Macaca fascicularis: one gene and its partner. The protein of the gene in region 1 purifies or fractionates together with the protein of each later gene. This does not show direct contact. Links are inferred from orthologs where the notes say so. Each region holds a gene or a part of one and is shown on either strand. Other genes may lie near its edges.

Evidence for each region. Proteins that work in one complex are often made in the same cells at the same time.
Region 2: the proteins of CASP10 (region 1) and FASLG purify together in Homo sapiens (co-immunoprecipitation; 3 studies listed by BioGRID and IntAct, with this or other methods). This does not show direct contact. The link is inferred for Macaca fascicularis from reciprocal best matches to the Homo sapiens genes CASP10 and FASLG.

What each region holds. Positions count from the first base shown.
Region 1 is NC_088386.1:96,978,603-96,982,248, forward strand, and holds part of CASP10 (caspase-10), read left to right. Parts: intron 1-314; coding exon 315-423; intron 424-1,309; coding exon 1,310-1,802; intron 1,803-3,646. UniProt on the Homo sapiens protein: Involved in the activation cascade of caspases responsible for apoptosis execution. Recruited to both Fas- and TNFR-1 receptors in a FADD dependent manner. May participate in the granzyme B apoptotic pathways.
Region 2 is NC_088375.1:30,264,115-30,268,371, forward strand, and holds the start of FASLG (tumor necrosis factor ligand superfamily member 6), read left to right. Parts: upstream 1-1,398; 5' UTR 1,399-1,618; coding exon 1,619-1,963; intron 1,964-2,514; coding exon 2,515-2,560; intron 2,561-4,257. UniProt on the Homo sapiens protein: Cytokine that binds to TNFRSF6/FAS, a receptor that transduces the apoptotic signal into cells. Involved in cytotoxic T-cell-mediated apoptosis, natural killer cell-mediated apoptosis and in T-cell development.

The DNA of each region.
Region 1 (3,646 bases):
AACCCTACTTCTACCAAAAATAAAAAATTATCTGGGGGTGTTGGTGGGCACCTGAGGCAGGTGGATCCCTTGAATCTGGGAGCAGAGGTTGCAGTGAGCCGAGATCGTGTCACTGCACTCCAGCCTGGGCAATAAGAGTGAGACTCTGTTGCAAAACAACAACAACAACAACAACAACAAACATGGTTTAAACAACTGGCATGGAGAGATACATCCTGCTCTTCCTCACAGTGGACCCATTGGTATAGTTGGTTAGAAACATTTAAGGCCCTAAGACGAGGATTCCTACTAAGTGGCTCTATCTGTTCTTCAAGTGGGCACCTACGTACAGGATGGATCGGAACCACAGAGGCCTCTGTGTCATTGTCAACAACCACAGCTTTATCTCCCTGCGGGACAGACGAGGAACCCATAAAGATGCTGGTAAGAAAGTCTAGCATAGTTTATCAAGTGCAAATTGGGGATCTTAAAATTATTTTTTATTTTCACATTTTTTTCTGTGACTTTTATTTTCCATATATGTGTAAGGATGATTATTATGTTTCTGAGCCTCTTGTATATCCCTGGGGCATCACCCAGTCTGCTAAAGAGTAGCAAGAGTCTTTGACTATTCACAATTCTGAATAGAGGAGAGCGTGTACTGGGGGAGAGCATGCTGGACTGGCACGAGACAACCTGGGTGTGAGCTCCAACTCCACCACTAACTAGGTGTGTGATCATGGGAGAGTCAAGAGACCTCAGCTTCTTCAACTGTGAAACAGATGAAATGAAACACTGGCCACTGCCAATTCTCAGGACTGTTGTGACAACACTGGGTATTACATGATAGGAGATTCATTGTAAGATTTTATGGTTATGAAAATAAAAATAATCCAAAGCTTTAGGCTATTTGCTGTGCAATTTTTGTAACTATTAGCATCATTTCATTTTTTTTTTTTGGAGACATAGTCTTGCTCTGTTGCCCAGGCTGGAGTGCAGTGGTGTAGTTGCAGCTCACTGCAACCACTGCCTCCCAGGCTCAAGCCATTCTCATGCCTTAGCCTCCCGAGTAGCAGGGATTACAGGCGTGAGCCACCACACCTGGCTAATTTTTGTATTTTTAGTAGAGATGGTGTTTTGCTATGTTGGCCAGACTGGTCTCAAACTCCTGACCTCAAGTGATCCACCTGCCTCGGCCTTCCAAAGTGCTGAGATTACAGGTGTGAGCCACTGCACCCGGCCTTGTTTAAGTTCTTCCTTTTGTTTTGCATCATTTTTTTATTTCCCCTTTCTCTCTCTCTCTCTCCTTTTTTTTTTCTTTTTTAAACAGAGATCCTGAAGGGTGTGTTCCAGTGGCTTGGGTTCACAGTGCATATATACAATAATGTGACGAAAGGGGAAATGGAGGAGGTCCTGCAGAAGGAGAAGTGCAATCCAGCCCATGCCGACGGGGACTGCTTCGTGTTCTGTATTCTGACCCATGGGGAAGACGGAGCTGTCTACTCTTCGGATGAGGCCCTCATTCCCATTCGGGAAATCATGTCTCACTTCACAGCCCTGCAGTGCCCTGGACTGGCTGAAAAACCTAAACTCTTTTTCATCCAGGCCTGCCAAGGTGAAAAGATACAGCTTTCCAAATCCATCGAAGCAGATGCTCTGAACCCTGAGCAGGCACCCACTTCCCTGCAGGACAGTATTCCCGTCGAGGCTGACTTCCTACTTGGTCTGGCCACTGTCCCAGGCTATGTATCCTTTCGGCATGTGGAGGAAGGCAGCTGGTATATTCAATCTCTGTGTAATCATCTGAAGGTCTTGGTCCCAAGGTGAGAGTTCTTTTTTTTCTTTCATTTTTAATTAATTAGTTTTATTTATTTTTTATTTTACTCTCATTCAACACCTTTGGTAAGGGTGAGAGTTCTAAATTGTTCTGTCCATGTACCTGTTCATCCATCTGCCTACCTTTCTGTTTATCTATTTATCCATCTATCCATCTATCCATCCATCCATCCATCCATCCATCCATCCATCCATCCATCCATCCATCCATCCATCTAGCAACCTTGTATTGAGTACCAGCCTGGACCTGGAAAGGAAGATAAAGTTAAAAAAAAGACAGGGTCATTGCCCTCAGGTTGCTTATAAGCTAGAGGGATAGACAAACAGACGGGGAAGGGCATCCCCAGCTGGTAAGTGCACATTGTGAAGTATAGGTGTTACGGGAACATGCAGAATGACTACCTTGCCCAGATTTGAAGGATGAGAGGAAGCTTCTAGAAATGACAAATAGATGTTAGGTAAAGAATCAGGTGAAAGATATGCTGGGCAGAGGGAGTAGTGTGAACAAAAGCATGGGGGCCTTTTATTTGTTCCTTTGTTTATTTATCACTCACTCCTATTTCCTGAGCACTTATGTGCTATCTTTGGCATTCTATTTGTCACTGCTCTGACAGATTGCCTTCTGTCTTTGCCACATGCTCTCCTCTTGGCAGCTTTAGCTATATCTAGAGGCCATGGGCACCTCCATGAAAACGTCTCCAAAGTTGCCATCTCTGGCCCACTCGTCTCTGAATTCCTGGGGGGCAGAGACCCTGTTTCATTTAACTTTATATCCTCAGCCCCTGACCTGATATATTGTGAGCTTGTTAAACATTTGCTGGGCCAATGAATGACTTGCTTGAGCCCATCTCATTAACAGCCCGCTAGATATCCTACCTCTGTTTAGCCCTTGGACCTCACATTCAGCATACATGTTTCTGAGCTCATCTTCCCAGCCTTCTCCAGGAGCTCCTGAATTTCCATTTGAAGGAATGGCCGTAGTGCTCTTCTGGGAATTCAGGATTGGAGTCTTCAGTCAACTTTGCTTTTCTCTCTTCTTTACCAGCCCCTCCATCCTCATCACAGACATCAGAGGCTAATGTCTATGGCTTCAGTAACAAGGCAATATTTATTGAGGTCATACTATGTGCTTACTGTACTGGGTATCGAACTGGGGGCTGGAGGTGCAGCTGTGTACAAGAGAGACAAAATCTGCTCTCCAGGGAGCTAAAAGTCCAGTAAAGGAAGGACAGATAATAAAAATATGTGAATATTTAAATTATTATTATTTTAAAAATTCAACAATATTAAAAGGAGACAGTATACATGCATAATTAAGCAATGTCTGGTTTTTTTTTGGTACTCCAGAAATTTCTTTGTTATTTTTAATTAATACTTCATAACTACATATTTCAGGGTTATAATTTGATATTTCAATACATATATGTGTTGTATAATGATCAAATCAGGGTAGTGTATCCATCACCTCATGCATTTATCATTTCTTTGTGGTGAGAACCTCTAAAAGCCTCTCTTCTAGCTATTTTGTAATATACAACACCTTACTGATTGATCGATTGATTTAAATATGGGATCTCACCATGTTGCCCAGGCTGGTCTTGAACTTCTGAGCTCAAGCAATCCTCCTGCCTTAGCCTTATAAGTAGCTAGGATTGTAGGCTCAAGCCACAGTGCCCAACTCAGAATGCCTTACTGTTAACCATAGTCACCCCACTGTGCAACAGAACACCAGAGATTATTCCTCCTATCTAATTGTAACTTTGTACCCACTGACTAACCTCTCCTCATCTTCCCTTCCCTCCTTCCCTCTCATCTCCATAATTGCTGTTTT
Region 2 (4,257 bases), on another chromosome or scaffold:
TTGAATGTCAGTTATATGATGAATAATTGTTTAGTGTATTCCATGTTTGGACGTGTTTAAGACATACTCGTCCTAAAAATTATGTATTATTTATCTGAAATTCAAATTTAACTGGGCACCATGTATTTAATCTGGCAACCATAACAGGGACAGGACACAGAAATATCGGCAAGGACCAGGCAGGCCTTTCAGATGGTGAGGTGATGTGTGAGACACAGGCCGCTGGCGGAGGCTGGGTGACCCAGAACACCTGTCGCTCATTCTCAGGAGCAGCTGCTACCTACTTCCCACTGATTGGGTTTGCAGAGATGGCCTCGAGGGTGTCTGATATTCTGATATTGCAAAACAGAACAAAAATATGTATTTTAATGTGTATTTAAAATGTATATATATTAAAATATTTTTAATATTGATATTAAAAGTGGTCAATTGGGCTGAGTGCAGTGGCTCATGACTGTAATTCCAGCACTTTGGGAAACTGAGGTGGGAGGATGTCTTGAAGCTAGGAGTTTGAGACAAGCCTGGGCAACATAGCGAGTCCCCATCTCTACAAAAATAAATAAATAAATAAATTAGTCAGGTGTAGTGACTCATGCCTATAATCCCAGCTACTTAGGAGGCCAAGGCAAGAGGATTGCTTGAGCCCAGGAGTTTGAGGCTGCAGTTAACTATGATAGCACCACTCCACTCCAGCTTGGGTGACAGAGTGAGACTCTGTCTCTATTTAAATAAATACGTAAATAAATAAGCTGGGCAAACAATGAAAATGAAAACATTGTGAAATACAAAGCAGTTCTGTGGGTTCCACTGTTTGCAGCCTCTGATCTAATTTCTAAAGAGGGTGTAGCAGGTTTTTTAACCTGTAAATTATGGTGATTGGCAGGTCAGGGTAAATGGTAGTTGTGTGTGGGGAAGCGATGATGGCAACAGGTGTTTTCCTCCTGCAAAAACTAAAATGTGGGAGTGACTTCTCTGGCCATGGCTCCATGGTCTCTCCCCTCAGAGCCAATTTCAGTAAAATTTTTATAGTTTAAAAAATATGGTTCTGAACAATTTTTGTTAGAGGTATTTTGGTATTTTTAAATAGTTTTTTGGTCGTATACATGGTAGAATTCTTAACATTATACAATTATAATGTATAAAAAAGGATACAATTATAATTCATAAAATTATAGCCCCACTGGCCATTCTCCTGTAGCTGGGAGCAGTTCACGCCAACAGGGCTCTACCCCAATGCTGACCTGCTCTACAGGATCCCAGGAAGGTGAGCATAGCCTACCAACCTGTTTGGGTAGTACAGCGATAGCAACTGAGGCTTCCAAGGCTTTCGTCAGAAGATTGTGGGCGGAAACTTCCAGGGGTTTGCTCTGAGCTTCTTGAGGCTTCTCAGCTTCAGCTGCAAAGTGAGTGGGTGTTTCTTTGAGAAGCAGAATCAGAGAGAGACATAGAGAAAGAGAAAGACAGAGGTGTTTCCCTTAGCTATGGAAACTCTATAAGAGAGATCCAGCTTGCCTCCTCTTGAGCAGTCAGCAACAGGAGTCCTGTCCTTGACACCTCAGCCTCTACAGGATTGAGAAGTAAAACCGTTTGCTGGGGCTGGCCTGACTCACCGGCTGCCATGCAGCAGCCCTTCAATTACCCATATCCCCAGATCTACTGGGTGGACAGCAGTGCCAGCTCTCCCTGGGCCCCTCCAGGCACAGTTCTTCCCTGTCCAACCTCTGTGCCCAGAAGGCCTGGTCAAAGGAGGCCACCACCACCGCCGCCACCGCCGCCACTACCACCTCCACCGCCATCACCACTGCCTCCACTACCGCTGCCACCCTTGAAGAAGAGGGGAAACCACAGCACAGGCCTTTGTCTCCTTGTGATGTTTTTCATGGTTCTGGTTGCCTTGGTAGGATTGGGACTGGGGATGTTTCAGCTCTTCCACTTACAGAAAGAGCTGGCAGAACTCCGAGAGGTAAGCCTGCTGGCAGACTGCTGTGCCCTGGAGGCACCAGGCATAAGGGGGTGGAGGGCCCACTGCCTGGCTTGCAAAGTGCTTTTCAATCCTTTTTTTTTTTTCTTAGAAATGGGTTGTTCTAGTTATTCTATTCTATAGGCAGAGAAATGGAGGCTCATAGGAGTGAAGGGAATATTTTTTATTTTGTAAAGAATCAGAGCCCAACAGTTTTTCTTTCCTCAGTTGTCAACTCAGTCTGTTGAACCACTTACTGCCTCATACCTAGTGATTTAAGGAGTAAAAAACAAACAAAACTTTTAAGTTTTGCTTGGAAGTAAATTTGTTCAGATGACCAAACTAAATCTTGAAAATACTTAAAATACTGGTACGATTTCAAATCACAAAACTGAGGGACAGTGAAGCAAAATTGCTTGACCAAAGCCTGAGTCAGCAAAAGTTCTGAGGTATTTGGATTCTCTTTCCAGGGCTTGGTTTATTTGACGATTCTGTCTCTTTTGCTTAAATAATTTTATTTTTATTATGCATCTTTTTTCTTTCTCTTTTACTAGTCTACCAGCCAGAAGCATACAGCATCATCTTTGGAGAAGCAAATAGGTGAGTCCTTTTTCACATGTACATTGAGTTCCTAAAGGTGATCCTCAGCACTGAAATATGTTAATGGAATGCCTTATATTCTGTCCTACACTTTGGCTTATGTATACTATGAGAGGAATCCTGGCTAATTCGGAATCTCTGGTCAGTATGATTCCTTGAGCTGCTTTAAAAATGTGAAGTGAATTGAATTGCTCACAATCAATATAGCTGAGCACGGCACACAATTCAAAATCACTTCCGCTTGACTTTGGAAAGAGACACACATATACAACCGTGGACTTTTGCCCCCTGAGCAGTGGTTCCAGGCCTGTCCCCTTCCACAGACACCCTGGTCCTGGCACACATGCCAGTGGCTATGACTTCTGGGAAGAGAAGGCGAAGTGAAGGCAGAGACAGATGTTTCTGAGAAACGTCCTCTCCTCTTTTAAAGCCTCTAAAGAGATCACAGTGAAACTTTATTTATAAAATGTTTTATAGGATGTAAGCTTTTAAAATGTGGCTAATCAATTCCGTACATTAGAATGGTTTTTCTTGAAGTCACTGAGAAGCTGAAGGGAAGACTTCAGCCATCATTCAAAGGATGTTCAGCTTCAGAGGCAGTCATGAGGTACCCTTGATCACAAAGGAAAATCCTTTGTATGGGAGCTAGGGCAAGAAGACGATATGTTGGAACACTGATCTCGTGAAATTTCAGGGCATAGTTTTGCAAGCTCTGTACAGATGGATTTTACAATGTGCTTCACTAGCCTAAGATTCATTGAAATTTTAGATTTAGATTTACAATGAGATTCACTGAAGGTTTAGAGTTGGAAGGAAGCTTAGAATATCTAGTCCAGCCATTTCATTTTTTTGGAAGAGAAACAAAATGCCAGACAGATTAGGTGAATATGCCCAAGACCCCTAGTATGGAACTGGGGCTAGAAGGAACACAGGCTCTTGATGCCTTGTCACCTACAGGGCTTTCCGGTACTGGACTGGTGCCTCATGAAGTAGGGAAACTCCTGTCTCTCTGTAGTGAGCATGGAGTGAGAAATAGAGGAAAAGCAGGATACCTCTGCAAAGACTATAGATAGATCGCATCCTTAGAAACTCAGAATAAAGAAGAAGGCAGCACTGGCCATCTATTAAGTGAAGTAAGTTTCAGTTTCTCTGGATGTGGCTACTGCAGGCAACCCAGTCGCCTGTCTACTGTCCTAGACTGTTAAGTTCTTATAGGAGCCACTGTTGGGAAGCTCTGGCCCCTGAGTCTGTGTCCTAATCCTTAAATGTTAGAAAGTCCATATGTACACAAGCAGAGTGGAAATATTTGCTAGAAAAATAAAGCCTCTGGAGGATGTCTCAAATAAGATCATTTTGAAAACCTGTGGAATGTGCCTGGTCTGATAGGTACCTAAGCATTCATCTTTTACCTCCTCTCTGGAGTCAATTTAGTGATTAAAAATCAAATGACCAGACGAGTCATGTCCATCTACCCCAGTAAGCAATTATCTTCTCTAGATCAACCCAGATGAACCAGAAATTGTTAAATTATCACAAGGAAATCAAATCAGTAACTTTACTAATAAGAAAAGAGATGCAAACTAAAAATAGGGAACACCAATTTTCATCAAATTAGTAAAGTTAACAAAAACCCAGACTGACAAAGATTTGAAAGAAAAGTGCTGTTTAAACATTAGTTTCAGCCAGTATACATGTAA